Coturnix japonica: one gene and its partners. Each later gene encodes a partner of the first gene's protein in a complex. Links are inferred from orthologs where the notes say so. Each region holds a gene or a part of one and is shown in the gene's direction. Other genes may lie near its edges.

Region 1 (6,460 bases):
CAATAACAGTAAACTCTTTTTATATTTCCTTTCTGTATGGATCACAACTCCACAAGGGCTAATATATCACATCCCTTGAGGTTGCATTTCTGTCTGCAGTTCTAACGTGTTATTGCCACTGTGCTTCAGTTCTGCTGGTGTAATCACAACCGTGTATAATGTACTTAATCCTTCCTTTTTAAATAAACCATTTTAAATGTATATCTGGGCTTGCGTGGAGAAAGATCTATAGATTCTCAGCTTCCAGATTCTCTGAGATGAGATTTCTGCATTGTTTTGTTCTTTTTTATGTTTCTACCTATTTTGATGGCAGCTAGTTTGTTTTACTGGAAGGGTAGGAACACTCTTGTGTTCACACAGAGCAAGAAATACCCAGGATAAGCCATCTCTACAACATTTCCAGACATTCAGGTAGGAACCTCAGAAAAAAAAAACACCTCCTAGTTTCTAGATTCTATGATTCTTGTTACCAGATTGAACATGGCCCAGATGAGGCGCACTCTTTAGCTGTTGGCTTGGTGTCTTCCTCAAATACTTCTTTCAACTTTCCCTTCCCATTTCCTATGCCTCCAGGTGGTCTCTCAATAGGAGGCTGCACATGTGCCTGCAAACCTGCAGCCCCCAGTGCTCACAGATAAGTGGGGTATCACAAACAGGGAGGATGTGGAGAGGGGAGCAAAGGCAGAGCCCTTACAGCTCTGGGACAGCCCTTACTGCCCAAAGGGACGGAGCCTGCAGGGAACAGTGCACCATGGGGCTGCTGGGCTGGCAGATGGGCAGCAGGCTTCTTTGTCTATTAAAGAACACATGACAACAAAAACTTGCTTTGTTCTCACCGTCTGCGAGGATTTCAGCCTCAGTCCTTGTCACTCGGTGAGGGTCTCCTGCAAGAAGGGAGCTGCAGGTCCTGGTTAGTGTGCTTGTGGTGAGCACTGAGGTCAGTCAGCACAAAATGCAGAGAGGTGCAGATGCTGGGGAGCAGAGCCACGCCAACACCTCTGCTGGGACAAAAAAGGCAGCACTTGGTCACGAGACACCATTTACCATTGTCTTGAGTAAAGAAACACGACCGTGCCATTTTCACTTTTTTCACTCACTGCTGCTAAGTGCCTCTAATTACAGCCCTGCCTGCTTCCCAACAGGTCCTCATTAATACTCTGTTTATATTTCAAGTGATATTGATTTTTGGAGGCAAATGCTGCCCAGCTGACACAGGGACACAGCGAGAGCCAATCCTCTCTGCTCCTTCTGCCCCTTTGGGTATCAGCTTCACTGGTTGTTTGTCCATAGTTTGGGGGGAACAGGTCCTGTGGGAGCACAGCCCAACCAAGGAGTTTCCTCTCTCAATAACCAGTGGCACCAAATCATGTTATTTGCCAGGGAAGGATGAAATTTTCCTTTTTCGTTCACCTTCATTATTTCCTGAACGTTTTTAACAAAATTCACCCCCACGCCCCCCCCAAAAAAGGAAGGAAAAAGAAAGGCAAATTCTGAGGGACAATCCAGATTACAGAGTACCTGAATGAGAGCAGACAGCAGGATCCTTGCCAGCATTGGAAGAGGCGCAAAAACCTACAGCAACAAAAGAAGCAATGATGGTCCTCACCACCCTCACCACCCTCTGAGTGGAACATATCCTTTCAATATGGAATCACAGAATGGTTTGGGATGGAAGGGACCTTCAGGTATCATTTAGTCCCAGCCATTCTCCAGTGGAATTACAATGATATAACTTCACCGTATTTCAGAAGTTAAACTTTGGACATAAACCTTTCTCTTCTTCTGGAGGGAAGCACAGCACCATCCTTCAGACACCTCTAAATACCTTCACGAGTCAATATGAGTAAAAACAAGCAATACAACAGATAAAAATTGGCTCCTTTGGCATGTCCTTTACAGCCTGCCCTTCTGCCAGCACCCAGCTCCAAAGCTCCCCGTGCAGACACAGCCACGAGCTGCCGGCGTGTGCAGGCACTTTGCAGGCTCTGGCTCTGTTATTAAGCTATTTAGGATCAGACTGAACGCAGCTCCGCCGCTATTATAAACACAGATGGCTTAGAACCTAACTGAAAAGTTAATCATCTCTTTAATGCCTATTTCTGGTCATGCTGCAAGTCAGCAGAACGGAGTCTTTCAGTGGCGGTAGCGGCTCTGAAGGAGCACCCGCTTGGCCGTGGGAATCCAAAACAAACGCGGGATGGGACGGGGCGGAAAGCTGAGCTTTCCTCTCTCTGTGCATTAATAGCCTCCTGACACAGCCCAGCAGCTGGGGCTGACATTTTGCAGAGGCTCAGACGCGCCAGGACGAAGGGAGCCCGCGTGGGGAGGCTGCGGGTGAGCAGGACTCAGGGCAAGGCGGCCCAGGAGCTGCATCCCAGCACGGGATGGACGAGACCAAACCACTGAAGGTGCGTCTCACCTTCTGCGTGCTGCTGGTGGGCGTCTCGCTGCTCTTCGCGGCCGTGGTGACGGACCACTGGGCTGTGCTGAGCCCCAGGGTGGAGGACTTCAATGCCACCTGCGAGGCGGCTCACTTCGGGCTCTGGAGGCTCTGCACGAAGAGGATTCAGATGCAGGAGCAAGGTGCCAAAGAGAGGGGCTGCGGGCCCATCAGTCTGCCTGGAGGTACGTATGGCTGGTTGTCCCTGTGTGGCACTTTGCTTGGGAGGCTGCAGGATGCTGTGGGAACCGAATGTGGCCCAATGGGCTGCACAGTGCTGTGTGTTTGCAGCTGCATTTGAGTCATCGTCTCCAGTGCAATGGCAGCAGGGGGTAAAAGGGGAAGAGGGTCAGGCACGGTGGGAACTGGGACAGAGTGAGCTTTGCTGATGTCCCACAGCACCCAGGTGCACTGACAGCAGTGGGCAGAGCTTTAGCAGAAGGAGTGTTTAAAGAACTGGGCCCGACTGCATGGCTGTGCCTTTTGGATCCCCTGAGCCTGCTCATGGCCAGCACTAGCTTATCCCCAAGCAGTTTCAAGAACAATCATTTCTCAGGGCAGGGAGCTGCCGTTTATATTGCGAGCTTCCAACAAGGAGTTGTAAACTCCAACAAGGAGTTCAAAACCAACTTGCTCCACCCTTCACTCTTCTCTCCCCATTTTCCCCTGCTGCAGTCAATGGGGAGCGGGCTCAGCTCCGCGCGTGGTGCCAAGTCAGCAACATTTGCACCGCGTGCACTGACGTTCCCATTTGTGACTGTGCTGCAGGAGGCCCGTAGGGAACTGGACACCTTCCAGGTCAGAAAAAAACAGGACTGCCTTCATGTCAGCTACGCTGCTAGAAATGAAATACATACATTAGCATATACTTGAAAACTTCATGTGAACAATCTTAGTGCCTGTGTTTGCTGTATGCTGCCCGTATTTGCACAGTTCTTTACCTATTTGGCTCAGTCACAGTGCTCAGATCTGCCTCGAACCAAATTTGGGAGTGTGTCACTCGCTGCTTCTCACAGAGGTGGTTGTGTGCCCAGGAGCACGCTGCTCACACCCTGCCCTTCCTCACATGGGGAGCATAGCACCCATGGAAGGAAAACCATAGAAATTGTTCAATAAACAACAAAACGGCTCAACTGCAGGGTAAATATAAAGCCCATAAATATCCAGCTGTCTGCAGACAGCAGTTTTGTGGCCAGGGCAGCATGAAAGCAGCTCCTGCCTTTGACAGACACCAGCATGTGCTCACAGAGCACTGAACCCCAGCCCAGAGCTGCCTTTCTCTGCAAAGAACCTCATGGAGCTGAGTCCCACACTGGACAGCCTGCAGCTTTTTCACTGTTTATAAAAATATTTGGCACTTTGGATGATATCTTGTGCCATGAGCAGCATCGGGGGCTTCAGAGCTCCTCGCATTCTTATCTCTGTCATAAAAACAACACCCAAATCCCCTTTTTGTTCACCATGGGGAGATGGGGAGAGCACAGCCCCCCTGGGCTGGGGCTGCTTAATGCTCAGTGTGCTCATTGGATCGATCTCAGTCCATTGAGGGGACAGAGAAGCTGTGCAGCCTGCAGCTGTCAAGGAAACCTGAATGGAGCAACAGGGAGAGGAGATGCAGACATTGGTTTTCCTGGAAATCATGAGATGTGGTCAGAGATCACTGCCAGCCCTGGAAAAGAAACAGCAGAACTTATCACTGCTTTAATGAGCATTTACCAGCCACTCCCTGAGGAAGAAATGGATGCCACAATTAGCACTATTTATTGGGTTCTGAGCAGAGGATGCGTTGGCTTGCAGTCCACAGAGCAGAACTGTGATTTAGGCAGAACTTTAAAATTTTACAGCACTCTTGTGAGGATGCTGACAAATTGGAGAGGATTCAGTGTGCTACTATGAGAAAGATGAAGTCCGGGGAAAGGGCTATAAAAGCTGGGAAATTTCAGGTGAATACTGAGATGTTTTCACCTGTGGTCTGAAGCCTGCTGGGGCAATGCACTGCTGGGGGAGCACAGCTCACCTCCACCTCTAGGAGAGCTCAGAAGTGTGCTCCTAGCTCAGGGCAGCAGCAGAGATGGGAGCTGGTGAGTGTGGGAACATGGGTGCCAGCATCTGGAATAGAGAGGAAATGTAGCAGAGCAAATAGGTTACCAGAAGATCTGCTTTGTTCCCCTCTGGTCCATATCCCCCCAGTAATGATGGATCTGAAGGGAAGGGGCCAGGAGTGTTGCAGGTGACCTGCAGCAGGGAGGACAGATAAACCACACACTATGTCCCTGAAGTTCACAGTGGCTCTAAATGACTGCAGAGCTCATGGGCTGCTCCATCAGCATACGACCTGTGGCAGAGAGAATGCAGTTAAGGGGTGGAGAGAAACAAAGATCGCCACAAAATTTTCTTCCACTATAAAACTCAATTTAAATCCCATCCATTATGTAAATGTGCTGTGACACAAATGGGCTTTTCTCTAATTCATGATGGCACCAGGGAGGGACTGAAGTGCCTCAGTTCTCTTGAGTAACAGGGAATCTTGTTGATAAAGACATTCCCAGCTCAGCAGTGCACCAATGTGTCTTTAAACTGAGAACAATACATCACAGCAGACAGTTCCCTATCTTTGAGAGGTTTCTGTGCTCTCCCCTTCACTGAGCCTTTGTGGAGTGAAGGGTTGGATCCCTGCATAGACACTGCTTGGCTTCACCTCACACTTTGAACAACCAACCAACCCAAGATGGAGCACACCATTTGTATCCCATCTCCCTCCCATTTAGCACGGGAGCTGAAGAATTCCCCAGCCCGGGTCACCAGACCCTCACTGACATCAGGCACCAACATGCAGCCTCTGCTCTGGGCCTCAAAATAGGCAATTTTAGACAGTGAGGTCTGAGTTCAGCTATGTTTTCTCCAGGGATCATATAGAACAGGTCAGGAGATGTCAGAGCTGAACATGAACTGGGTCTTCAGCGAGAAGAAGCTGCAGATGGAATAAAATTCAGCTTTTAAAACAAGTAGATAACAGCATCTCTGAGGAATCTTCCACTAATGGGCCCAAAAACGCTGCCTTGGAATTGCTCATCCCCTGGGAGAGGGAAAGTAAACCTTCCTTGAAACAGTAACTCTGCAATCTGCCATTTACATGACAGCAAAAAAACAAAAGAACCCAAGATGTAACACAGAGTGCTCTGCTACCTCCTCACCACGAGCAAAGAGAGCTGTGTGAATAAACAACAAATGCAGTTTGCTCTGGGAGCTCCTGGAAGCCAGTGCTGGCTCCATGACTGAACAGACCAGAGGTGTTGGTGGTAGGAGCCAGTGATCCTAAAGGGACAAACTGGGGTGCTGAAGAGCCCTCCAGCCCAGCACAGCAGAGAGCTGTAGGTGCACATTTCCAGCCAAATTCCCTACAAACAGCTGCTCCCCACCTCTCCAAGCTTCCAATTAAACAGGTTATAAATAGCAGGCACCCTTCGTCCCAGCCGTGCTGCTGCCAGGCTGGGGCTCAGCACTGTGAGTGACGTTGGGGTGTGAGGGGAAGGTGTCCAACCAGCAGCTTTATCTCTGTGCAGGGAGTGATCCCAGGAGGGCACCTGGGGAAGCACAGCTGTCAGGGCTGCTTAATCACCTCCTGAAGTGTTGTGATAGATCCAGGCCCAAATCCTCGAGGTCTGCCTCCTGCTGCTGTTATTGCTTTAGACAAAAAAAGGGGGGAAAAAAGCATTGTCTGGATGTCTGGAGTAGGAATGAGATCCCATTAGCACCTACCCAAAAAACATCGGTAGAAAGTAAATCCCATTCTGCTGTATTTTATCAGTGGTTTCCAAGCGCACAGAATTAAATATTCCTTTTTTCCCTTTCAGTTCAGAACTGCTCCTATTTCAAGCACTTCACACCCGGACAGAGCTCGGAGATATTTGAAGTTACCACCCAGAAAGGTAAGAACAGCCCTGAAAAGCTTCTCTCCAACACAGCACAAATCAAGGAAGCACATGGGATGTAGGTGAATCATAGAATGGCCTGGCTTAA
Region 2 (5,935 bases), on another chromosome or scaffold:
AAATCCTGTTTTCTGGTGCTTTGGTTAGTTGAAATAAATGGAAAAACAGAAGCTTCATCTGGTATAGACACCTCAGTACATTTTAATGACTACCCTAGGTAGTCCAGTTTGAGCAAATTGTTTGTCATATGGAATTAATGCCCGAGATGAAATTATTTACATGGAACAGTGGCATAGGGATAGGTACATGATGCAGCATGTTTTTCTCTTATGTACATGGGATAGGGTTGTATGGGAAAGCAAGAGTAGTGGAGGCAGAAAGGGGCAGGGAGTCCCCCTGCAGGGAAAGTGAGCTGGGGCTCTCACTAATGCCACCTTCATTTCCCAGCATCAGACATGAGCAGTTCATGGCTGCTCCCACCTGCGATATCCCTTGGTGGAGCAACACATCAGCATCACTTCAGGTTTTATTTTTTTACATTGCTTACAACTGTTTGCCTTTTAACATTTTCCTGACTTTCTCCTTACCTGCAGCTGAAGTTCAGAGTGAAATTGAACGGATTTTTGAATTAGCAAGGACACTGCAGTTGGTAGTGCTTGATGCTGACACCATAAATCACCCAGCACAGCTGAGCAAAACCTCTTTGGCACCCATTATAGTATATGTAAAGATTTCTTCTCCTAAGGTAAATATTTTACTGGATATTTGTGCTGTATAGGCATTGAATGCAGATGATCCTGTGTCCTTGTTAAATACTGCTAGTATTTTAATTCAGATGGTGGACCATTACTAATCAAAGAATACTTTAGCTCTCAGGTTACCAAAACACATTTGGGAAAAGATGCTGTAGCTCCAATGATTTTTAAAATTGGGACTGTGTTGTGTGTGTTTGCATGTTCTTTAGTATCAGCCTTGTAAGTTATGTTAACAATTTATTCAATCAATAGAGAAAAGAAGGAAAGATTTTAAAATAATGAATATCAGAGTGATGTAGTGAGCTCTTAAACTTCTTAGTTACCTACTTTCATTCTCTGAATAACCTGCACAGGCCTTGTGAAGAGGCACTTGAAAGACAAGACTGAAATACAATAGGATTAGTGAGGAGAGCAATTAAATCACTTTAATTTAGAAACAAACACAGAAGCAGCAAAGGAAAACTGGAAGGGAACTTCTTTGTGTTGGTAATAGATCATAGGTGCTGGGGAGTAAATGAAAATTAGCTTGTTCTGGATGTAAGCAGCAGGGGAGGTGCTCCTGAAGCCAGAAATGAAGAAAATCATCTGCTCAAGTGTTTTTTAAGTGGCTAAAGATGTGTGTTATGTCTGTACCTGCTTACAGGCCACTTAGTGAGAAGTATTCTCAAAGTGATTCGGAGAGAGTTCATACTTATTGTCGGTTTGTTTCTCCACTACTAACATACTTTTATAAATGTCTTATTTTCCACAGGTTTTACAGAGGTTAATAAAATCTCGAGGGAAATCTCAGGCCAAACACCTTAATGTTCAGATGGTGGCAGCTGATAAACTGGCACAGTGTCCTCCTGTGAGTTAATGTTGATTTGTGTCTTGTTTGGCCAAGAAGAGCTGATTCCTGTTTAAAGATGTCTGTCCTGTCAAGCAAGTTAGTTATGTAATTGCTAGGACTGTTCGCTCCCTTCTGGCCATATTTCACTGCTTTTCTGCACAATGCCTCCTGAGGTCTCTGGGCTCTTCACAAGGATACAGGGGAAAAACATTCCTTGTCACAAACATTTATTAGGATGTGTGCTGAATACATGCACTGCTTGAGAAAACTGTTTGTTTTATTTGATATATATTTCTGAGTTATTGATCTAAAAATAAACTCCTTATGACAGTGCAGTTTAAGGTAAGGCAAGTGACTTGAGTAGCTCTCTTCAGCGTATGTCACCAGAGTCCATCACTGCTCACATTCTTGGTCACAGTTTTGGCAAAGAGCTGTGGGGTGCCACATAGCTGAGAACTTTGTGGTTCTCCTATTGACATGCACGTATGCTGTGTGTGGCAAGCAGTGTTACCAGGTTACCAGCAAACTCAGCTGCCAGGAATGTGACCAGAACCCAGAAGACAAATGTTCAGTTCAATTACAGATGAGGAACTTTGCCATAGTTAAGAAGCTGAGCGAGGAAAATGTTTTCTCCATTGAAGTTCAAGCCACTCAGCTACAAGGCTAGTTTCTCAGCTCCTCCAGAAGTCAATGAACAATGCTAGAAACCTCTATAGGCTTTCAGAATTGCCTTCAGGAGGACATCTAACTGCCTGACCAGAGAAGAAATTCTCCCCCTGAATTTAGGTACCTGTGACTAATCTTTTGCCTAGTATTTATATTAAACTTGGAAAATTTATGTTCTTTACTGCTCTTCCTTACCACTGTTACAAATTATTTGTCTTAGTTTGTCTTAACTTTGACTGCATTGTTCTATGTATGGATGGTGGTCTCTTTCTCTTAAAGTTTCATTTTGTTCTAGTTGCTAAGAAACTTTAATATTAAACTTTTCTTTTTGAATATTTGAGTTTTAAAACTTCTTCAAGACTCTTGTTCTCACCTTCATTGACTGCTGATGCATTACTAAGTGGAATTCATGAGGGCTTGACTTAGCTAATGTAACATCAGCATTAGTTATAAGTGCTGTCCTTTGTATTACTTGCAAGAAGAAGAAGAAAAAAGGTGAAATGTCTTAATACAGTTATTATAAGCGTGGTTCATTTTTGATGAATGCAAAGTGTAGTCGTCAGTGTCACTAGCTGATCTCCCTTGAGCTGGTGGTTATCTTCACTAAAACTTTTCCTTTATCAGGAGATGTTCGATGTAATTCTTGATGAGAACCAGCTGGAAGATGCTTGTGAGCACCTCGCTGACTATCTGGAAGCCTACTGGAAGGCCACACATCCACCTAGCAGCAATCCTCCCAACCAGCTTCTCACTCGGACACTTGCAACAGCCACTCTTCCTATTAGCCCAGGTCCAAATATTAATTTACAGGTACAGTTTTTATACCATATCTTATTTTTCTTTTTTTTTTAATAGTAAATTTTCTTTTGACTTTCCCTTCCAAAGCACAGTGGTGGTCTGATACTAGAATATGCTGAATATATTTTACGGTTGGTGATAAAGCACTTTTCCATAGTTGCCCATTTCTGGTATGAAAACCAAATACAGACACGTTATTCTTACTGCTGTTCTATTTGCAGTAGCATGTGTTTGCATATTGACTGGTGGGCAGATTTTGATTCCTGAGGCTAAGCAAGCTTGATTGAGAACATATAGTGATGCAATGTAGAATAAGGTTTCATTGTGTCTGGAACACCACTATGCCAGAAACGTGAGTACCAGCCACAAGCATTTTTATAGCCAGCTCTCTGTAATCCAACCAGAGGAATAAAATTGAGCTAATATTATGTGCATTGCTGCCTCTGGTAACTCTCTGACTGAAAGGCACATTTGCACTAGCAGGCAAATCCCACCCTCAGAGTCCCGACATGAAAAACTGGGTTATGCAGAGCAGACTCACAAAGGGTAGAGGGAACCTGTGCACATCTTCCCACAGTATGTCGGGATGTGGAGGTTGGAAGTGGCTAACCACATTAGTGAGGTCTCAAGGTCAAGGTGGCCCTTCAGGTGTTTCCTTTGCTCTTTTTTTCTTGCTTCTATTGTGAAAAGTGCATGTTTCCTTCAAGCCAAACTCTTACATAAAGGCAGAGTCCCACTGCATGTTGTGCAGACAGACTTGAGAGGAAGCTTGCCTTCAACTGCCAGGGTTGCTGCCCGGCAAGCTGGGAAGATCATGTTTTGCTTCCACCTGCACGCTGACCTGCCTTTGTCTTTGGTCATATTGTATCTTCTCTTTTCTCTTTCAACTTTTACTTTACCTAATTGTGTATAAAGAGATTCTCTCCTTTGTATATATGTTGCATGGCATGAAATGAGGACTTTAAAGATGCTGCTTCATTACATCACTACACCTCAAGGTCAAAAAGATTACAGTGAGGGTAAAGGTGGATCTAATCCAGCTCCAATAATGGCTTATTACATTACGTTACATTTATTACACCAAGCGGATGTATATACACCAAAAAAAGTGTGCACAAATCAGAGTCCATAACTTTGGCTAAAAAAAAAACTTACTAAATTTAAAGAAAAAAACAACTCTTCACTGTAAGTGAAATGATGACAATTTGGCTTTTTTTTGTTTGTTTGTTTGTTTTGTTTTGTTTTGTTTTTATGATTTTGCAAAACAGTTTGGGGCTTTTGTTTTTGTTTATTTTTTGTCTTGAAGAATTTATTTCTTGTTAGAATTATTATTAGGATTTATTTCCCACAGAATTACCAGGTTCTCTCTTTAATGAGAAAAATCGCTTCAGCTACCTTGCAGGGTATTTCCCTCTCCAGCTTTCAAATGCAGTTGCAGGAAAAGAGACTTTAAGTTGTAGCTCATTTTTGCCTCTTTTTTTCTGTCCTCAGAGCTGAAACGCACTGAAAAAAATGTGAGCTGGAAGAATTTCTGAGTATGAAATTCAGTATTGTCGTGTGCAGACTTGCTAGATAAACTTGATTTGCTCTGTAAACATCTTAATTATTTTTATTTAAGCTTTTTATTTTTTAACGTCTGTTGGGTGTGGATTTATAACTCACTCATTTTATTAACCGCATTCTCTGGAGGAACTAAACGCATTTCTGACTGTTGTGTTACCTGTATCTCCTCTCAAATTAACAACTTTTTACTTTAAGTACTAAAATTCAGAGTGTATTTGCAGTTTCGCTGTTTGTTTGTAGGTCTGTTAATCCAAATGTGCAGAGCAGTGGACTTTCCTTATGGAATACAGAACTTCTATGTTCCTTTTGTTTCACTCTCCTGATACACATTCAGCTGACACCTCAAACCTGGGTCTGTCAAGGTCTTGGAACAGAGCGGGTTTTCTAATCATGACAGCTGAACCCATTATCTGGGTCATGCTGAAATCTACTATTGGAAGTGTTTTAAGTTTACGTCATGTGTTGTCTTTGTGGATGGCTCCAGAGACATCCATGCTTTCTCCAGAGAGAAAGCATTTGGCCTGGCAGGGTCACATCTGCAAAGCAAAGCATTCGACTCATCCTCATCTGGGTCCAATGTGGCACCCCTCTGCCATGAGACCTAGTTGGTTTTTGGCTTTATTAGTCCCCAGTATTTATTGCAATGACAGATTTGTGTTGCCAGCTGTTACTTCTACAGCACAGTGTTGATGGTGTGCATTGCATGGCATGAGATGCTTGAAGGTGTGAGGTCTCCTGGGGCTGTTTGAGATGAAGCTGGGGAAGTCCACACCCTTCCTGCCTGTCTGGTGGAGGGCTTGGAGATTTCTCAGATTTCCGCTCGTAAGAGATGGCTGACAAATTCCATAACGGAGGCTGAGAGCAAACATAAATGGTGTAGGTGATTAGGGAACCTTTGGGAGGAAACAGAGTGAGTCCAATTGAGTGTGCAGATGCAGACTTTCCTCTATCCTCCTTCAACTCTGCTTAGACTTCTTTTCAAGAACCCCTATTCTTTGAAATTACAACCCATTTGGGGTGAAAATCTTATGAAATTGGGCCATTAAACTTCCGCACTGCAGAACTTAATTTATATCAGAGCCCTAATTTGGCCATAAACCACAAGGCCAGACCTTAGTCCAGACTGAAACATTATCTGCTCATTGTCTGTAATATTTAGGGAAATTAACTGTCAGTGAATTTGCCCATAAATCCTAATAGCCTCTACACAAGTCTGCAGATGCAGGGTAATAATGGTACTGGCTCTAAATGTATTGACTGTGCTCCTCCACACATGCTCATCATAGCAGAAAAGATGCATCTGAGCTTATAAACCAGCATTTTGTTGGAAGCAGATTCAGATCTTGTATTTGTTCTCAAACCACAGCAACAATAGATTTTATTAGTCCAAAGAATGTAGTGGAACCTATATATTCAGCATTTGACCATATGAGAATTAAAGGG
Region 3 (6,571 bases), on another chromosome or scaffold:
CCTCTACCACGAATGGTCTCGCCCACCCCACCGCGTGGCGTCGCCCGACGTGATGACGCATGACGCACGACGCACGGGGCGGTGTCGGCGCGGCGCTGTCATGGCGGCCGGGGGTTGGAGCGGGTCCTGTTGGGGGGAGGTGTCTGTGCTGAGCCCGAGGGCTGAAGTTACCTCCTAAGATGGGGCTGTGAGGGCGGGCGGGGTCTGCGCTGCCTCACCTCACTGTAAGAAGGGCGTAAAGTTATGGGGGGGCGTCCGAAGGAGGGCTGTGGAGAAAGGGAAAGGAATGGAGGCAGGAGCGTGAGGGGCGGCCGGGGGCCGTGGGTTGGTTGTTTGGCAGAGCGGCAGCGTCCATCTCTGTGCTCTCCTGGAGCTGGGGGGGGCTCGGGGGCAGTTGGCTCAGCCCCGAACTGCCGTAGGGTCCGGGTGGTGCCGGGGGTCCCTGTGGGTCCGTTCCAGCTCGGGCCGTTCTTTGGTTCGTTAGGGCGGAGGTCCCGTGCTGCTGCTGTCCGTTATTGCGGCCCACCCGCTGCTGTTTGGCCGCTGGGTGGGCCCTGAGTCCTTGCTGCTCTGCAAGAGGTGGTAGCAGAAGTGAAGCTCTGTCTTCCACAAAGGGATAGTGGAAGGACAAGGACGAAATGAGATGAGGGACCATCCCGGTGCTCCCGAAGCAGAGCTGGCTCTACGGTGGGTTAAGTGAGTGCTGCAAAGTGAAGGCGAGGAAGCTTTGGGCAGTGCTATGCAGCGGGTGGATCAGCTCGCTGTGGTGCAGGGTGTTGGCTGGGGCACAGCTCTATTAGACCATCACATCTCAGTAGGATGGGAGTATGGTTAGTGTGACTGTTGACTGCTCCAGCAAAACCAGAAGAGCAGCACGTCCTTGTGCCTTGATTTCCCCACATCTCTGCACTGCTGCAATTCCTGTGTCTTTCATTCACAGCAAACCAGAGCAGGTTTTGGACTCAGTGTGGAGCCTGAGGTTGGGGTCTAATCCCTGCCTGCATCAGCTCAGTGTGCTCAGCCTCAGAGACCCCAGAGCTGCAGGACGACGAGGGCTGAACTGAGCAGTGAACACCAAACAAAGCTGAAATCCTACAGAAGGTGGAGTGTAACGGTGTGGGCCATGGGTGTGTACAGACTGCAACAGCTGGTTGTGAGATTCTGTAATACAGAAGGGCATGGAGGCATTATTTCCCTTTTGTTACGGGTTGCCACAAACCACCACTGATAAATACAATTTAATAAATATGATAAATACAATTTAATAAATATAATAAATACAATTTTTAAAAGCAGATGTATCTGGATAACAACCTGTTATAGATATTACCAAGAAGTGTGTGTGTACATATATGTAGTAAATCTGGAGGAAATAGCACTGAGAACATAAGAAATTAGAAGTAGTAGGAAGGAAATGAGATGCACTGAAAGTCAGTAATACATCACCAAATGCAGGTGGCTACTGTACAGCTTCTCAATGCTGTAACTGCTGGACTTATGACTGAGTATACTTAGCATTACTACACTTAGGACAGTTGCATATAATAATGAAATTATTGTGTACCAAACCAATCTTAGAAGGCTGTGAGTGGATCAAACCAACCTCACGAGAGCCTAATTAGGTAAACCTGTTTCAGAAGAGGCCAACCCTCAAAAGTGGACCAGACAGTGATGGACTAAATCTCACGTTGGAGTTGATTTGCATCACAAAGTTTGGAGTCAGCCAAGGCTCCCCGGGGAAAATTATATTTAATTAGGAAATGTAGGGAAGGAAACTTCATGTGATGCAGAAAATTCTGAGGGAGAACCTCCACTTTGGCTAGGAAATGAGACGTTTTTGTATTGCAGAGACTGAAGATACTGCCTCTTAGAGCAGCCAGTAGTTACTGCTGATTTCTCTCACCTGAGCTGATTGATAGATTACAATGTTTCCTATTCCCAGACCAAGATTCATTTTCCTGAGGCTTGTTTTCTCCTTCCAGGTGATGTTTGCTGTTAAAGTTCTTCAGTTTTGCTTTTATTGATGGTATCATCAGGATGTCTCTGACTGTCAGGTTCCCAGCTGCCAAATGAGGCCAAGCCGTGCCTTCCAGGGATGCTCCCATGCTGGCAAGAATCATGCTCTGTCAGTGTTCTAGCAGGTGTTTGCTGTCAGCATTTTCCCCCTTAGGGCCAGCTCACCTTTGTGGCTACACCCATTGAGGGGCCTCAAGAATATTTCTTTGGGAAAGTGCCCCGCATCCCTGTTGTCCTTTTCACCACAGAAATGTGATTTATCAGACAGGACTGCATGTGTTCTCCTGGCTTTCCTTACAGCCTGGAGCACGGGGGAAAGAGGTGACAAGGGACAAAAAGCACTTTTCCTTTGGAGAAGATGAGCGTGGTGCCAGGCAGCCCTCCCCACCCCCAGCCCTCTCAGCGGCATGCTAAGCACTTGCCCGCCTCGCAATGCGCCGGGTAAGGAAGCGACAGCTGCTGGGGTCCTTTTGCTGCCTCAGGAGCTGCGACAGCACCCAGGAGCCAGGGATCTAAATTTAAGTCTGTGCTTTGTGTGCTGTGCGTACCAACGCAGCCTCCAGCCCCCAGAGCCCGGCTCCTCAAGCAGGGGGATCTGGAGGAGCTCTGGCTGGCTGGGGCTGGGGGTTTGGCCGAGGGGTGAGAGAGAGAGAAACAGCGTGAGGAGAACCACCATGGAGCCTGTGTCTCAGCAGGATGATGTGAAGAAGAGGCAACAGAAGGAGAAGTCCAAGAAGCCAGTGCCACCAGTAGCCCCTCGGCCACCCAGGGCTCTGTTCTGCTTAACCCTACAGAACCCACTGCGGAAGGCATGCATCAGCATCGTGGAGTGGAAGTATCCTTTGGGAAGGGGTGCTGGGGAGCAGGACCCTCAGTCTGCAGGAGGAGAGCTCACAGCACACTGCTGTGGTGGCCATGCTTGGGCTTTGTGCTTGGCTGTCCCACTGAGCCGATGAGGGAGCAGGAAGAGCAATTGGGGACACCTGGAGGATGTGTTAGAGGCAATGGTTGTGTCAGCTGGGCTCGGATGAGCTTATATGGGAAGATGGGGCTGTGAAGCCATGGGGGATCTTTGGTGGGGTGTTGTAGAAACAACCTGGGTGGCAAGGGACTGTGGGGTGTGAATGTGTTTTGTGTCTGTAAGGAGCTGTGCTGGGATGGGAGAGGTGTGATGGGGATGGGACCAGGCAGAGCAGGAGAGCCATGGCTGGGAACTGCAGTGAGAGGGGCTCGGGGTTGGGCAGTGAGACCACGGTGAGCTGCTTGGGATATCTCTTTGTGTGCATCACCTCTTGTCTTGTCCTGCATCTACTCCCTGCCATGCTGGGGGGGCTGGCAGTGTCTCCCAACTCCTTGCCAATGCTATCGTCCCCTTTTCCTGTCCCTCCCTGGTACTGTATCACAGGTGAAGGCTTTTTGGAGTGTCATTTTTCAAAAGGATGTGATCTTCCAGTGCCCCTGAGTTAATTCAGGGATGGGCTTCTGGGGTTTGCTTGTTGACTGGCCATCTCTTTACTGGGATGTTTTGGTATGGAAGAGAAGCACAGCTTCTATTCAGCCCTTCTGCCACCCTAGGCTGAGAGTAATGATACTGCCTGCTCTCCAGCTGCCTGGAAAGGATCCTGTCCCATGTCAGCTCCTCAGCTTTGTGGCTCTGACAGCAAACACTGCAGAGCAGAGATGAGCCCCAGGAGAAGGAATGCATGCAGCGATACCAAACCCATGCACTAGGTATCCCCACAGAATACAGTCGCAGCTAATCCCCACTTGGCAGCTTGCCTGGTCTGACGTCCCTAACTGTCCCATGAGGGCTTGTACATCCTGACCCTGAAATGAGGGCAGTCAGGTGCATGGGGGTATAAAAACAGCCGGGCACAAGAGCAATGTCACTGAAATCCATTGCCCAGGATTCTGTGTCCTACCCAGGTCGGAAGCACCTCCCTGGTGGGACACCACCTCTCCCTCCATGCTGCTCTCCTGATGCACTGATGTGGGAGAGGCTCTCTATGCTCTGCCTGCTCTGGCATGTGCTGACCCAGGATGAGGAATGTGTTTGAGCATGCTGGAAGACGTAGGGCCTATTTCCAACTCTTCCCCTGCAGCTCGTCTGTATGCACAAGTGTTTTCCATACCCATTGCCCATTTGAGACAAACACCGCCCTGAGAAGGATGTGCTGGTGAGGCATCTCTGAAGCAGTAAAGGAGAATTCCCCAATCTGGACTCTGCTCCCTCAGTGGTCAGAAAGTTCCTTTCCAGCATGGGAACAAGAGATCCAAGTCCACTTCCAGCACTGCGCTGGTTAATGTGGCTGTGATTCCTGCTCTGCTTACCCAGCTCTCACCAAACAGTCACATATCTCCCACATCCTTGCACCTGCACAAAGGCTGTGATGAATGGCAGCAGGGTGGGCTGCTCCTTTCACCCCTTCAAGCAGGTAGCTGTGTGTTGCTCACCCTATGGTGCTGAATCAGACAGTGGCATGGCTGCTTCAGACCCATTCTGCATAATTAACTGGGAATGGGGATAATTAGTTGATTAACTGTAGTGCAGGGAAATGCTAGTATGACTTCAGGGCTGCTGTGCTGGGATGCTGGATTTCAAGGTCTGAGCTGCAGGTGCTCACAGGAGGCTCTGCCCAAGGTGGGATGAGAACTAGGAAGCACTCAGCAGTGAACTGGGGCCAAAACGTTCATTGTGTTTTGTGCCACGCTGTACCCAGACCTGTCAGCAAAAGGCCACCAGGTGCACAGAGAAGACTCCTTTGCTTTTAGGCACGTGCACAGCTGCACGGTGTGGTGTCTGGAGCACAAACCTGTGTGGCCTGGATGCAATCAGCAATGGACAGCAAAAGAGCATGGCTGGCTACTGTTCTTCCAGGGTGGCACGGGACAGTGGGCTTGAGCTGTGCTGGGAGGAGGAGAGGCTGTGGTCCATGGGGTGGGAACCTTGTCATGGCCAATGTCCTGTGGGAGTGTGAGCCCTTTTGGGACTGCTGGAATGTGACAGCTGTAGCCTGACCTTGAGGTTTCAATGGCCCAGCAGAGCAGTGACAGCAGCAGGAGTGACCAAGTGGCTGTCCCTGGGCCTTGGAGGTAAACAACAAACCATCCTTTTTGTTCAGAGGTGCCCCAGGGCCCAGATGACTCAATTCTTTCTGGGGATGGAGGGAGACTCTGGCACTCAGCAGAACAGCCATGAGTGCACTGCCTGCATGGGCTGTGGGACGTTGAGGTGTGAGCTGTGTGTCTGCTGGTTGAGCTGCCAGCCTGGGGTGACACAGTGTACATTAGGTCTGCAGTTCTGCAGCCTCTTCCTTCTGGCGGCTGGGCACCACAACAGGAGCCAGGGCCACCAGGCTCTGGAGTGCAATGCTCTTGTGATCTCTGTGTTATGGGAGAGGATCTTGAGCCTTCAGGGTGGCTCCTGAATGATGTGAAGGGGGAATTCCCAGGTTTCCAGTCCCCTTCCTGGTCCTCCTCAGCTGCAGCCTCTCACTTTGTGCTTTGTCCCCTTACATCCTGTGTGGGTGCTGCCCCTCTCCAGGTCCTGTTTCTCACCCTGTCTCAATTCCTTCCTCTCTCCAGGGACCCCAGGAATGGGCAGAAGGAGGCTGTTTCCCTATGCTTCCCCCACATACACCCTGACAGGCTATATGCAGGGACTGCTTTCCCATCTCTCTCTCTGCTCCTTAACACTGTTTCAGACCTTTTGAGATCATCATCCTCCTGACCATCTTTGCCAACTGCGTCGCCCTTGCCATCTACCTGCCCATGCCTGAGGATGACACCAACGTGGCCAACTCCAGCCTGGTGAGATTCAGCCCTCCTGCCACCCTCCCCTCTGCAAAGCTGCCGTCAGCCTTCACTGCTCCATGGAGCTCATCCTCAGTGTGTCTGGGTGCCAAGTGTTGGCATCTGTAGGGCTGCTGCCCTGTGGGGTGGCCTCATGTGTCAGTGCAGTGAGAGAGGCCACAAATCAGAGAGACACCACTGCAGAATGGGTCTGGAGAGGTGCTGGAAATGGGTGTAGGATGAGACCAAAAGCAGCAGAGTGGTGTGAGAAGTACAAGGGAAGGAAGGATAGATCTCCTCCTTTTTTTTTTTTTTTTTTTTTTTTTTTTTCCTTCTTTTAATCTCAGTCTTTCCAAAAAGAAACTTCCTGTTTCAGGAAGGCTGAAATGTTTTGTTTTAGCATCTTTGGGACCGAATTGCCTGGCCATTCATTTCTAAACTGAATTTTAATTCTGGGACATTTTTTTTTTAAAGAGGAAAAAATAAACCACCCAAAACCTCTGTGAAGGAGAGATCAAACCTTCCCAATCCATTATTCCATTGTTTCCAGTCCCTCCATCTTGCCTGGAATAAGATGTTTTGGTGTGATCCAAATCAATAGCTTTCATTAGGTTTAGTTCGCCGCGTCCCCCTCTTAGATCCCAACTGTAGTTCAATCCATATTGATTTCTATGGTGAATCTGAGTTTGGGCACTGAATCAAAGCATCCAAATATGTTGTTTATACCAAAATGTTCTGTTTGCTAATTTCAGGACTCCGCAGT
Region 4 (6,483 bases), on another chromosome or scaffold:
GGCCCAGTACGGCTCAATGGGGCCCAATATAACTCAATACGGCTCAATACAGCTCAATACAGCCCAATACAAAATCCAATACAGCCCAATACAGCTCAATACAGCTAATACAATCCCAAGACACGCTTCATACAGACAATACAATTCAATATGGGCAATTACAGCCATTCAACTCATATTGGTTCAAGTCGACCGATACAACTCAATATGGCTCAATACAGCTCAATACAGCCCAATACAACTCAATACAGCTCAATACAGCCCAATACAACTCAATACAGCCCAATACAGCCCAATACAACTCAATACAGCCCAATACAGCCCGGCTCCGGCCCGGCCTCCCGTTCCCCACCGCCATTTCCCCCCCCCCACCACGCCGCCAGGCCCGGCCGCCATTTTCCCCCTATCCCCGCAGCCTGTAAGAGATGCAGCCGCCCCATAAGGCAGCACCGGGCTGTTCCCCAGCCCTGAGGCCGCTGATCCCCGTTCGGATCCCATCCCCATCCCATTAATCCTTGTCCCTTTATGCCGCCCCGCTCTCACCTCATGGCGGCGGCTGCGGCCGAGCCGGGCGGAAAGGACTGAGCGCCAGGCCGCGCCCACAGCCACAGCCACGGGGAGTGGAATGTACCACTGTGCTACAGCACCAAACAGCCGCATTATTCAGCCACAAAAAGCAGAGAAACGAGGCCGGAGAAACACAGAGTCACGATCACGCGTGGATACAGCGAAAGGAGCGACACGGACGGACTCGCGTTGTGGGGGGGAGGAAAAGCTTCACCACGCACCCCCCCTCTGGGCACAGTGGTACGGTCCATGCGCCGTGGGTTGGGCCTGGGGATGAGCGCATGCGCAGTGGCGCGGAGTAGGCAGCGTGAGGGCGGAGCGGCCATCTTGGCTGGGGGGGGGTGAGGGGTGGGGTCTGTATGAGGGGTGGGAGGGGGTCGGGTTTAGGGGGGGGCTGATGTGGGGTTAGGGGGTCGTGTGGGGTTTGTGGTCAGCGTGAGGCCTAAGGACGGTGTGGGGTCTGGAGTTGTGAGGCCTAGAGCTGGTGTGAGGCCTGGAGTTGTGAGGCCGGGGGTCGCAGTGAGGCCTATGGCCTACGTGAGGCCTGTGTTGGTGTGAAGCCCGTTGTGAGGAGCATTGCGGCCCCTTGTGGCCTCAGACACCACAGGGCAGCATTAAGGCTCCCCCAGCAGCTCAATATGGGTCTCTGCTTCACTGCAAGTCCAGCTTTACAGCAGCTAAAGCTCCTCCTGCAGCAGCCCCTTACAGCAGACCCTTCCCTTTGTAGCCCCTTCCCTTTGCAGCCTCTTTGCAGCCCCTTCCCCTTTACAGCCCCTTCCCTTTGCAGCCCCTTTGCAGCCCCTTCCCCTTGCAGCCCCTTTGCAGCCCCTTCCCTTACAGCTGCTCCCTGCTCAGTCTGTGCTGTTGCCATCACGCTGTGGCTCTGGCGGCCGAATGCGTTTTGGCATATGGTGTGTGTGACAGGGAGGCTGGTGGCGGCAGATTTCGGGTTGGTTTTGAGAGACAAACAGGGATAAACACAGGCTTGGGCTGTTTAAAAACCTGACTCGGCGTTTTTTCTACATCTCAACGTTCAAATCTGGTGGTTCCCAAAGCAGGAGAGCAGCTGCTGGTTGATTACCTGCCCCCTGGAGCAGCACCTGGATCGTGTCCATCTGTGAACCTGCAGCTGTGAATCAATGTCCTGTAAGGCTTTGGGGCCCTCGTGTGGGGTGGAGAAGGTGGGGAGGCTTCAACCTGTATCAATGTAGAGCCCACACCTCTATGGATCCCATACCAACAGAGCCCACACTTCTAACACCCACACCTCCCCCCTGTGGGTGCATCCTTGAACCCCACACAGCATCCCATAGGGTTGAGGGCACAGCTCCCACCCCACACTCCACCCATTGCAGCACAGTCCCCATTCCCATCCTCCTGCACTGCAGCTCCAGCAGTGACACTGCTTGTGTTCTGCTCCCACGCAGCTCTGGGGAGCACAACACTCATCCTCTGCCCCCACCACCTCCATGTTGTCCCATCCCCACCTCCAGCTGATCCATCCCCCCACCCCATTATCCAGGGCTGCACCCCCAGCTTGAGGGGCTGCAGATGGGTCCCCATTTGCATTCAGGGCTGTGCCACCCATCTGGCTGCACAGGTGCTGTCGTCGGCACCTTACGGTGATGGATGGGGTCTAAGAATGGAAAACGTGGTGTCAGCTGTGCTGGGTGCATTGTGTGGGAGTGAGGAGGGGGGGGCGGGACCCCCAGGAATAAGGAACTTTCCAACAGCTGGTGGCTGCTCGGGAGGAGTGGGAGACACAGGGGGACCCCACAAAGGGGGACTGGGCTCTATGGGGGGGGGGCATGGATTTCTCAGCATGGATCCCCCCCTCCAGGGATGGGTTGGAAGCCAGGTTTAGCCCCAGATATGGAGAAGGGGCTGTGCCCCCCCCCCCATGTTGTTTTGATTTTAGGGGAGCTCCTTGCAGCGAGCTGCTGGTCAGAGCTACCCCCTCCCACTGCGTTTATATTTATATATATATATATATATATATATATGTATGCCTTTTTTTTTTTTGAGGGGGAGATCCTTCATCTCTCCCCCTGTTTTGGGGGCAGCTTTGGGGGTGCCCTCCCCTAAAAGAGGGAGGGAAAGAAGGAAGGAAGGAGGGGAGAGGAGGAAGGGAAGCATCCCGCATCCCTCCCGGCAGCGCGGTGGGAGCGGCCGGGGCGGAGGCAGCGGCTGCCCCCCCCTCTCCTTCCTCCTCCTCCTCCTCCTCCTCCTCCCCTCTCCGCACGCCGGGGCCGCCCGCCCGTCGCCGCGGGGGTCGGTGCGGCGGAGGCCGATCTCGGGCCCCGCTCTGCCCGGAGAGCTCCATGGTGCGGGAGGGGGGCATGGCCCGCCCGCCCTACAGCTCCGCTCAGGACATCCAGATGGACGTCTTCGACAACACAGCCCTTCAGGTGATACCCGGGGGGGGTGGGGGTCAGAGAATGCCCTGGGGGGGGGGGTGGGGGGAGGATGGATGGAACCCCCCCCCCCCATCCCCTCCCCACGTCCTACCAATGGAGGTTCCGCCTCCTGTAGCTCGGTTCCCCCCACCCCCGTAGACACGCTGCTCCCCCAAATCAAAGCAGACAGCAGGAAGATTATTTCCTTTTTTTTGAGGGGGGGTAGCTCGCCCCTTTACTGCATCACCTCCCCATGGCTGTGCCCCCCCCCACAGCACCACGCCAAGTCTGGAGGAGGGGGGGGTTCACAGGGAAACTTTTGGGGATGGGGCAAACTGTGCAGAGTCAGTGTTTAATGGGTGCGACCCCCCCCCAAATCTCCATCCCCTGGGTGTGGGGTGGGGGGATGTACCCTCTGGGCTGGGGGTATCTCGTGTGTGTGTGTGTGTGTGTGTCCCCTGCAGGCTGGGGAGGGTCAGGCAGTGTTGGCTGTGTGGGTGGGGGCACAGCCAGGCCCTGGGGTTGGGGTTTGATGGGGGGCTCCGTGGTGCTGACCCCACCCCGGGGCCTTCACCTCCTCCAGCACAGAGGGATGGAGCCGGAGGGGGGGGGGGAGGGACCTAAAAATACCGGAGACCACCGGTGGCAGCTGGGCCCAGCTGTCCTTTAAGGGGGGGTGGGGGGGGGCATAGCCCAGCCACTCACACCCAGCACCCCCCGGTGTGCTCCTGTGTTCAACCCCCCCCACACTGTATCCCACAGCCCTTATGGGGGCACTGTCAGCCCCCATGGGGGACACCGTGGGTGCAGTGGGGGGGGCACATTCTTACTGAGGGAGCTTACACGTGTGTGTGCGTGGGGCTGGGGCATGTGACAGCGAGGGGGTGGCATAGGGATGATGTGGGGGGGGGGGGGTGCTGCTGCTATGGGCCCAACCCCCCCCTCCTAGAGCATCCTGCCCCCCCACCACAGTATGTGGGGGTCTGGGGGTGCAGAGCCAGTGCTCAGTTCTGAAGTGATGCTGTTGGGGATGCTGGAGGGGGGATGATGCTCACAGTGCCCCCCCTTTCCCCCCCCAACCTGTCACCCCTCCTCTCCACAGGGCAAGTACAGCAAACGTAAGAGCCGCTTCAAGCGCTCGGATGGCAGCACCTCGTCTGACACCACCTCCAACAGCTTCGTCCGGCAGGTGAGCATGGGGGGGGTGTTGATGGGGGGGGCACAGACCCCCTATTTGGCTCTTCCGCCCCCCAGGGCATGTATCCTCTGAGGCTTAATGGGGAAGGTCTCTTTGGTAGCCCTTGACCCCCAGGGAACCATGTGAGGGGGTCCTGGTTTGCAGCTGAGTACTTGGGGTGGGGGGTGCTGGGGGCATCCACCCCCCATATCAGGAGCCTTTGGGGTCCTGGGGCATCTCCTGCCCTTTTTGATGCTGGTGTGGGGGGTCATGCAGCCCACCTGGCATCACTCCCGCCCTCCCCAGCCCCATCCACCCACCGCTGGCTTGGCACTGTCCCCCCCACCCCCCCGCCCCAGGCTAAATATACCCCGGCAGGCTGCGGGTGTCTGAAACCCGACCCGCGGGTGCCCCAGCACGCAACGCCCGCCCCCCCCCAGCCCACTTGCCCCCAGCCCTGCCACCATGGAGATGACCGGCAAAGACCACCTCGCCGCCCCGGTGAGCATCCCCCCCACCCCACACTGCTGCCACCCCTTCCTGCCCCTCCTCCCTATCCCAGGGTTTGGGTTCCCCCTTGACTTAAAGGGGTTTGGGGGTGAGCAACTCCCAGCAGCCCCTCCAGCTTGGCACCACAGTGTGCCTGCTGCTGCCCCACAGCCCCCACTCCTCTGCCCCCCTGGACCCCAAGCTGTGACGTACTGGTGAGAAATGGCTCAGAAAGGGGCTGACTGATCTCTGCCCGTGTGGGTTTTTTGGGTGGGGGCTACTGCCCCATGGACGGTGCTGGTGTCTGCAGGGTGTTTGGGAAGGGGCTGCCCTACTCTATGGGAAGGGTGGGGGCTGCCTCAGCGTGGGGATTAAAGAGGACCTGGGTGGGGAACAGCACCCCACAGGGCTGGTGCCTCTGCTGTCCCCATGGGGGTCACAGCCCTGAGGTCCCCCCCCCCCCCGTATCTCTGACTGCAGCACAGGGTGAAATGAGGGGCTGTGGGGGTCGAGCAGAGGCCCCAGCTGCAGCCTTGTCCTGGGGTGACCCCCAGCCCCCCGTACTGTGCAGCCCCATTGCTGCAGGACCCCTGGGTGGCTGGAACAGAGCTGGCATTGGGCACTTCCCCCAGCTTGGTGCAGAGCGGGGGGACAGCTGGGGTGCTGCCAGCTCTGGGTGGGGGTCCTCATCTCCCCCCCACAGTTTAACAAGAGGCCTGGAGCCCACTGACAGCAGGACGGGAGCGGGGTGTCACGTTCCGTGCCGGAGCAATGGGAACAGCTGCGCTGGTGCTCGGCCTGCTGTAACCCCGGCACGGCCCCCCCTGGCTCAGGGGAAACTGAGGCACAGGCTGGGGGCACCCAGCAATGCATGGGGTCCTTTGGGTGCTCACCCACAGGGCTGTCCTTGCATAGGGCTGGGGCTGATCTGTGGGGCTGGGGCTGAGGCTTCTCCACACTATCACAGGGCTCAGCTGAGTCCTACACCAGCCGCCCCTCGGACTCAGATGTGTCCCTGGAGGAGGATCGTGAGGCGCTGCGCAAGGAGGCTGAGCGCCAGGCACTGGCACAGCTGGAGAAAGCCAAGGTGGGACCTGGGGGAGTTGGGACCCTCGTCACTGGGAGCCTTCTGTGGGGCACTGGCTCTCGCTGTGGGGTTTGAGGGGATGCCGCCTACACTCAGCTCCTTCTCACCTGCAGACGAAGCCGGTAGCGTTTGCTGTCCGGACGAATGTTGGCTACAACCCATCAGCCAATGATGATGTGCCCGTGCAGGGCATGGCCATCTGCTTCGAGCCCAAAGACTTCTTGCACATCAAGGAGGTGAGGGTCCGGAGTGGTTGGGGGGGGAGCAGAGTAGGAGGAGGGTGTGGATGGCAGGGGCTTGGGGATGGGGGCTGGCAGAGCATGGGGCTGAGGGTTGCAGGGTGTGTGGCTGCTGTTTGCTGTCCATTTACAGGCGTTGATGTGATTTCTGTCTCCATCCCCTGGTGCAGAAATACAATAATGACTGGTGGATAGGGAGGCTGGTGAAGGAGGGCTGCGAGGTCGGCTTCATCCCCAGCCCTGTCAAACTGGAGAACATGCGGCTGCTGCAGGAGCAGAAGATGAGGCAGAACCGACTGAGCTCCAGGTTCTTCCCACCCCCTCCACCCCCCTGGAACCCTCACACAGCCCTCGTGCTTACCTCTCTCTGCTTCTCCCCTCCCAGCAAATCAGGTGACAACTCCAGCTCTAGCCTTGGTGACGTGGTGACAGGGACACGCAGGCCCACTCCTCCAGCCAGTGGTAAGGATGTCTGGGCTCCCCACGGGGAGTGGGGCTGGATGGGGGGGTCTTGTCACCCCTCCCACT
Region 5 (5,935 bases), on another chromosome or scaffold:
GTGTTTTCAAGCAGGCATCCAAGAGGCAGGAGCCTTCTGGTGTGCCTCTACCCAATTAGCTTGGACTAAAACCATTGCTTTGAGACAGCTAAAGTTGCAGAGACAAACTCCAACCTGATCAAGACCCACATTTTGTATTTTCTGTGTGTTTATTCCTTTGTTTGTATTAGACAGCAGTGAGCTGCATGAGATGAGCTGCTGATTCTGATGGCATTGCTTATGGAACAAGCAGCATCCACCATGAATAAGGCATCAGATCAGCCCTGTGCAGCAAGAGGCTTCTTGAGAAATTTGTTATCAAAGGAGACTGAATGACTCAGGGGCTGTGAATGTAATTGTGGGAAAGACTGGAAGGCTCAAAGTACAATCATCAGATATTGATCCTCCCACCCACAGCAGGTGCCTTAAAATCCAGTGGTGCTTTTATAATTGTTGCCATCTGCAGACACGCCTAAAATTCACATCTGGTATCCGTTCAGGTTCTACAGTGGATGCTTAGAAAAAGCAGGGCAATTGGCAGTAAAAGTTAACAGTATGGGTGGTGACAGTGTGGGAAAACAAAGCTCTGTCACAACTGGTGGAGAAGAGGTGGTGTTTCTGGCCGGGCTGTGGGGCACAGGGCTCGTCCCTTCTGTTAGCATGGTGTGTCCCAGGGTGGAAGAAGTCCAGCCTTGAGAGCTCTAAGTCTGGTGCTTGGCACTGATGCAAGCTACACCACTTCAAGGAAAACTTTCAAAATTAGTTTAGAGAAACATCCCAACCATTCCAGGAGCTGGCAGCTATTTCTCCAGCCTCCTAAGAGTCATTACAGTTGGAAAAGACCACTAAGATCATCTGTTTTAAGCCTCAAGACACTCTGGGCCTTTTGCAGGTAGATCCTCCAGCACTCTGCTGTCCCAGCCCAGCAGACTGAGTGAGTCCTCACTCTATGTGTCTCCCTCTCTCTGCAGGCACTGGCAGTGGCCGGCCTGAGCCCCCTCCTCCAGCGAAGCCATTCCCCTACCACGTTCTCCCGGCTGTGTGCCACACCGCCTGCTACACCCTGCAGCCGAGGCTGGCCACAGCAGCCCATCCCAACGCTGCGCCTTGAGGGGGCTGAGTCCAGCGAGAAGCTCAATAGCAGCTTCCCATCCGTGCACTGCAGTTCCCGGTTCCCCGACAGCTCAGACTGTGGCAGCCCAAGGAGAGCCAGGCCAGTGTCCCTCACCGTCCCCAGCCAGACAGCGGGGAGCAGCAGGCAGTTCCACGGCAGCGCCAGCAGCCTGGTCGAAGCGGTAAGGCCACGGTGGCATGGGGACGTGGGTGGTACAGAGGCCAGTGTAGGAACATGACCCTTGGGAGGGCAGGATGCACTGCAAAGCCAAACCCATCTCTGAGCAAGGGTCAGCAGCATGAGTGGGAGGAGAGGGGCCAACATGGCCAACAGGGAGATGCTGTATGGGTGCAGTAGGGCTGGAACTCATAGTGCTAATGTCTGCTTTTGTCTCTGGTTCTGCCGCCTCCTGAAGGTATTGATTTCGGAAGGACTGGTGCAGTTTGCTCAAGATCCAAAGTTCATTGAGGTCACGACCCAGGAACTCGCTGACGCCTGCGACATGACGATAGAAGAGATGGAAAACGCAGCAGACAACATTCTCAATGGTAACAGCAAGCAGAGCCCCAATGGCAACCTGTTGCCTTTTGTTCACTGCAGGGACGCAGGGCAGGACAGTGCAGGCGAGGAAGAGGAAGAGGTGCAGAACCCGGATTGTAGAAAAAGTCAGGAGGAGCTGAAGGACAGCAGGATTTATATCAGCAGCCTGTAGTTGCCAGGGCTGGAAGCGATGCTGGTTTTTTATTTGTTTCAATGTTCCTAATGGGTTTGTTTCAGAAGTGCCTCACTGTTCTCGTGACCTGGAGTAACCGGAACAGCGTTCTTCATTCATTTCTGTTGGGATGAGTCGCAGAGTTGGGTGGTGGCAGAGAACTTGTCAGGAGCGGATAGGACCCCGGCACGCGTCCGCCTGGAATGAGCGCGGTGCCCAGGAGGAGAGTCAGCTCCCTCTTTTTCCAGTCCCTGCACAAGGCACGATGACTGCCTCCCAAGGGCGGCCCAGCCAAACGCGCCCGGCCTCCAGCGGGCATCCTTCAACTTTGCTTGTAAAAATCATTTTGCACATGTTCTGTCCGAGCCTCACCGCCCCCAGTCACCCTGGCCCCGCTGCCTGGGCCCGGAGGACACAGCACCGCCAAAAGGGGAGCATGGGGACTGCAGCGGCTCCTGCTGTTGGCCAATCAGAGCTCGAGGGTCGCTCGCCAGCCAACCTGAGCGTGGGCAAGTCACCTGCCAACCAATTGGAGTTCAGACAGACAGCCGCGCCAGCCAATGGGAGAGCAGGGAGTGGCTGGGCACGGGTTTCTTCTTGTCCCGCAGTTCGGTGTTTCCTTGAGAGCATGTTGCGGTTTTTATTTTGACTATTTTATTTTTATTATATTTTTTCAGAGGGAGAAGGGAGTGTTTACAAGGTTCTGTAACCACCTACCTTTTTGTTTGGGTTTATTTTCACCTTTGCAGATGTTACGTTGGTTTGACCATGTTGTTTTATTTAAGCCAGGTTCTTTTCTCCATTGGCATTTGGTAGAAGCATAACACTGTAGGCAAGTTTTACCGACCACTATGTACACCAAGACTCTGTCATTTGATTTGCTACCGAGCGGAACTTCCTTTTTTTGTTGTTGTGTTATCATAGAACGGCAGCGGGCAACACGCTTGGCACAGCCCCACAGGTCCCAGGGACCAATGGGGCCATTGGGATGCAGCGCCAAATCAGCGCCCGCTGTCGGGTGGGGAACCAGTAACTCTTTGCATCTTCTGTTCCACAAGATATGCAAAAACAATGCAATAATATTAATTTTAAAATACAATCATAAGTCGTGTTGGCATTAAAACTGTATAGAAAAAAAAAAAAGAAATTATTGGGGTTGGGGGAACAACCAAGCAGAAGGCGTTACGCTTCAATATATTCCGTGTGATGTTTTATTGCATTGATGATGTTTCTGTTGAAGAAACCGTTATACTTGAATTCAGGTCAGTTTCGGTATTTTTCAAATATTTTTTTAAAAGGAATTGCAATTGTGCCAAGCAAATATTATCAAATCGAATTCAGTTTGTTTTAAAAGAAAAAGAAAAAAAAAAAAAAAAAAAGAGTCACTTCTTGTATATTTTGCTGCATGTCAAGTGAATCATTTCGTATTTGGAATGTGCCAAGCTTTACCTTTGAACTTTTAAGTGCTTTTCTACGTGTGGTCGGGGACAGGGGTACTATATTTTGTTTTATTTTTTTCCTTTTTTAATTTGTACAATGAACAAAGTGTACCTGGTGTAAGTAACTATTCTGCAATTCACTGACAGGTCGAACGTTACTGATTTTGCATATCTTGTGTTCATTACCCTTCCTCCTCACCCCTTTAAATATGCACGATGACTTTGTTGGTAGAGAGTACCTTTCTTCCTGAGGCCGGGACATTTTGTTCAGGCTTTGTTCTCTTTCCTTTTGCTCAGCCTCTCCAAAGCTCTCTTCCCACGAGAGAGTGGCGAGATACCCAAGCCCATGTGGAAGATTCATCCCATGTCTTCAGCTGGCACCAGCAATTCAGGGAGGGGAAAAGCACCTGCTTGCAGATTGAGGTTAGGTAGTTCATCCTGATAGTTGTAACAGGATGGTGGGATAAGCAAATGCAAATGGCAGAATCGTTTGCAAAATAAATGTGCCTAACTCTGGACTGAAAGCATTGGGTAAGTGAGGGACAGACTCTGGATTGTTGCTTAGGAAAATTGCTGTGGTCTGGTCATGACACAGATGTTCAGTGACTTTTGTCTGTTTCCATGCATGTTCCCAGACCTTAGCACATGGGTCACAAAACACCTGATGCCACAGCATATCCCAGCCATATATCCCTGCTGCTGAGCATGAACCTCTCCTGATTCACTCCACGATGGCACACAGCGGCTGAGAAACCAGGGAGATATTATTAGATTTTATGCGGCTGATTTCTGTCTAGACTGCTGCTGATTTTCTCCCTTTTCAAGATGTTTCACAAACTTGCAGATGAGTACTCAGAGGTGTGATCTGACTCAGAGCTAAACTTTCATTCCAGTCGTGAGCTTCACAGATGTTTGATTACATCGTTTATTATGTATTTTCGTAATGCCCTTGGGTTTAATTCTTGACTCTGCTGGGGCCATTAAGCAGAAATAGTGGAAGATATTTTTGAAAGTGCACTTTTTTCTTGTTACTTTGAACTGGCCAGTAGCAGCTCAAGATGCCTTGCCAACAAATCCTTTTAAGCTGGGGAAATGTGAACCCACTTAAGCAACCATCTGGCATCACAGTCCCAGTCCAAGTCCCTGGAGAAAGCAACCACCTGAAGTCTGTCAGCCTCATTTTTTCCATCCCTCTTGTCTGTACCATGATTGGCATGTGAGCAATTCTCCCTTTGTGAGTTTGCTGTTGCTAGCTCTGCAGTGCTCCAAATCTGCTTGAAAGGAAATAGTGCTGTGCTGGTTGTTTTCTGAAAACGGAAGCAGCAAAGAGGCTCCCTATCTAATTTTCCTCCACTAGAATGTTCCCCTGGCCCTCCCACTAAGAGGCAGAGGTGCTCCTTGCTCCTGATTAACAAAGTACTGGCCTAGAGGAGCAGAGGTAAGGGGCATTCTGGATATCTGCCAGTACTTGTCATCTTTTAGGACTTTTCCTGAAGCGAAGGAGAAGAAAGGAAAGGAGTGTGCCCTGCACATTGCTGGTGAAGCTGTGGCTCCCCCGTGGGTCAAAGCTGACGATAGCCAGGGAAATCCTTGCAGTCTGCTGGAAGATGGCTTAGGTCCTGCAGAGTGAGAAGTGCATGGCTAGCAGAGCATGCAGATGCCTTGTGTTGTCTGAGGAGCAGGTGATCAGTACAGCCATTGCTGGTGCCAGCTGCATAGTTTTCTCTTTCTGGGGAGGGTGGCTTTTTTTTGTTATTTCCATTTGAGGTACACGCAGCATGCACATTGTGACAGGTCTAAGCAAAGAGCTACTGCCTCCTTCAGGTGAGGTGCAGTCTGGGGGTGATGGAAGTGGGACAGGCATAGTACCCAGGGGTCCTTCCTCTCCCGGTGCACAGGAGTAGATGGTGGGTACAGTCACTGTGCTGTGGATGGAAGCCATGGAGGAACCAATGGCCAAGGAGTGGCGTGGAAGGAAGGAAAGAAAGAAAGGGGAAGACGATCTGCTGTTCCACTGAGCATCTCTGACTTGCAGGAGTACACTGCAGACTAAAGACATTTCTTACAAAACAACAAACCTCATCCCTTTACCACTCCTGCTCATTACTCCAGGCAGTACTGGGCCAGCCACACCGGGTGCATTTCTTTTTTCTTCCTTATTCTGTGTGGCTGATGTGACAGGGAAGCAAGCGGAACTCGTGGTCCAGAGCTGGAGTTTCACTGTCCACAGACCTTTTTTGCATCACCTGTATCTTCAGCTGGACATACGGATGATGATGGCGTGGATGCTGCTGCTGCAGGGTCCAGTCTGGTTTGTTACCCTGCCCACTTCACCCAGCATGGAAGGACAGCCAGAGAGGTGCCATGTACAGAACCGCATCTATTTCTGCTTTGTTTTCTGACTCAGAACCCTGCCCCCAGTGACTATGACAACGATGATGAAAACAACAACAACAAAAAAAGGGCAAATGCATTTTTTACATTTCTTGATAATTTCCAAAGCAATGTATCATTGCTTTCTTTAGACTGACGCCAATATAACAGTTGTATGGGTCTCAGCCAGGCTCCTGTGTCTTTTCTGCCTGATAGTTTCAGATTGCTGTATGAAATGTATGCGCGTTTGCACACAGACACAATCGCACAAGGTGACAGCACCACGAGCCCGTGGGGTTGTGGACTTGTGTTGTAGGT

Evidence for each region.
Region 2: CACNG1 (region 1) and CACNB2 share a complex: the UniProt entries of both Homo sapiens proteins name them as parts of the calcium channel complex. The link is inferred for Coturnix japonica from reciprocal best matches to the Homo sapiens genes CACNG1 and CACNB2.
Region 3: CACNG1 (region 1) and CACNA1S share a complex: the UniProt entries of both Homo sapiens proteins name them as parts of the calcium channel complex. The link is inferred for Coturnix japonica from reciprocal best matches to the Homo sapiens genes CACNG1 and CACNA1S.
Region 4: CACNG1 (region 1) and CACNB1 share a complex: the UniProt entries of both Homo sapiens proteins name them as parts of the calcium channel complex. The link is inferred for Coturnix japonica from reciprocal best matches to the Homo sapiens genes CACNG1 and CACNB1.
Region 5: CACNG1 (region 1) and CACNA1C share a complex: the UniProt entries of both Homo sapiens proteins name them as parts of the calcium channel complex. The link is inferred for Coturnix japonica from reciprocal best matches to the Homo sapiens genes CACNG1 and CACNA1C.

The regions. Positions count from the first base shown.
Region 1 is NC_029533.1:6,955,917-6,962,376, forward strand, and holds the start of CACNG1 (voltage-dependent calcium channel gamma-1 subunit), read left to right. Parts: upstream 1-2,256; 5' UTR 2,257-2,384; coding exon 2,385-2,625; intron 2,626-6,294; coding exon 6,295-6,369; intron 6,370-6,460. UniProt on the Homo sapiens protein: Regulatory subunit of the voltage-gated calcium channel that gives rise to L-type calcium currents in skeletal muscle. Regulates channel inactivation kinetics.
Region 2 is NC_029517.1:17,384,900-17,390,834, reverse strand, and holds part of CACNB2 (voltage-dependent L-type calcium channel subunit beta-2), read left to right. Parts: intron 1-474; coding exon 475-626; intron 627-1,387; coding exon 1,388-1,483; intron 1,484-2,755; coding exon 2,756-2,941; intron 2,942-5,935. UniProt on the Homo sapiens protein: Beta subunit of voltage-dependent calcium channels which contributes to the function of the calcium channel by increasing peak calcium current. Plays a role in shifting voltage dependencies of activation and inactivation of the channel.
Region 3 is NC_029541.1:631,097-637,667, forward strand, and holds the start of CACNA1S (voltage-dependent L-type calcium channel subunit alpha-1S), read left to right. Parts: upstream 1-2,525; 5' UTR 2,526-2,690; coding exon 2,691-2,851; intron 2,852-5,720; coding exon 5,721-5,826; intron 5,827-6,571. UniProt on the Homo sapiens protein: Pore-forming, alpha-1S subunit of the voltage-gated calcium channel that gives rise to L-type calcium currents in skeletal muscle.
Region 4 is NC_029542.1:3,807,996-3,814,478, reverse strand, and holds the start of CACNB1 (voltage-dependent L-type calcium channel subunit beta-1), read left to right. Parts: upstream 1-2,629; 5' UTR 2,630-2,888; coding exon 2,889-2,975; intron 2,976-4,065; coding exon 4,066-4,152; intron 4,153-5,596; coding exon 5,597-5,716; intron 5,717-5,829; coding exon 5,830-5,952; intron 5,953-6,125; coding exon 6,126-6,262; intron 6,263-6,340; coding exon 6,341-6,417; intron 6,418-6,483. Other genes in the region: RPL19 (60S ribosomal protein L19), read right to left, coding at 544-548. UniProt on the Homo sapiens protein: Regulatory subunit of L-type calcium channels. Regulates the activity of L-type calcium channels that contain CACNA1A as pore-forming subunit.
Region 5 is NC_029516.1:51,090,677-51,096,611, reverse strand, and holds part of CACNA1C (voltage-dependent L-type calcium channel subunit alpha-1C), read left to right. Parts: intron 1-950; coding exon 951-1,274; intron 1,275-1,508; coding exon 1,509-1,805; 3' UTR 1,806-5,935. UniProt on the Homo sapiens protein: Pore-forming, alpha-1C subunit of the voltage-gated calcium channel that gives rise to L-type calcium currents. Mediates influx of calcium ions into the cytoplasm, and thereby triggers calcium release from the sarcoplasm.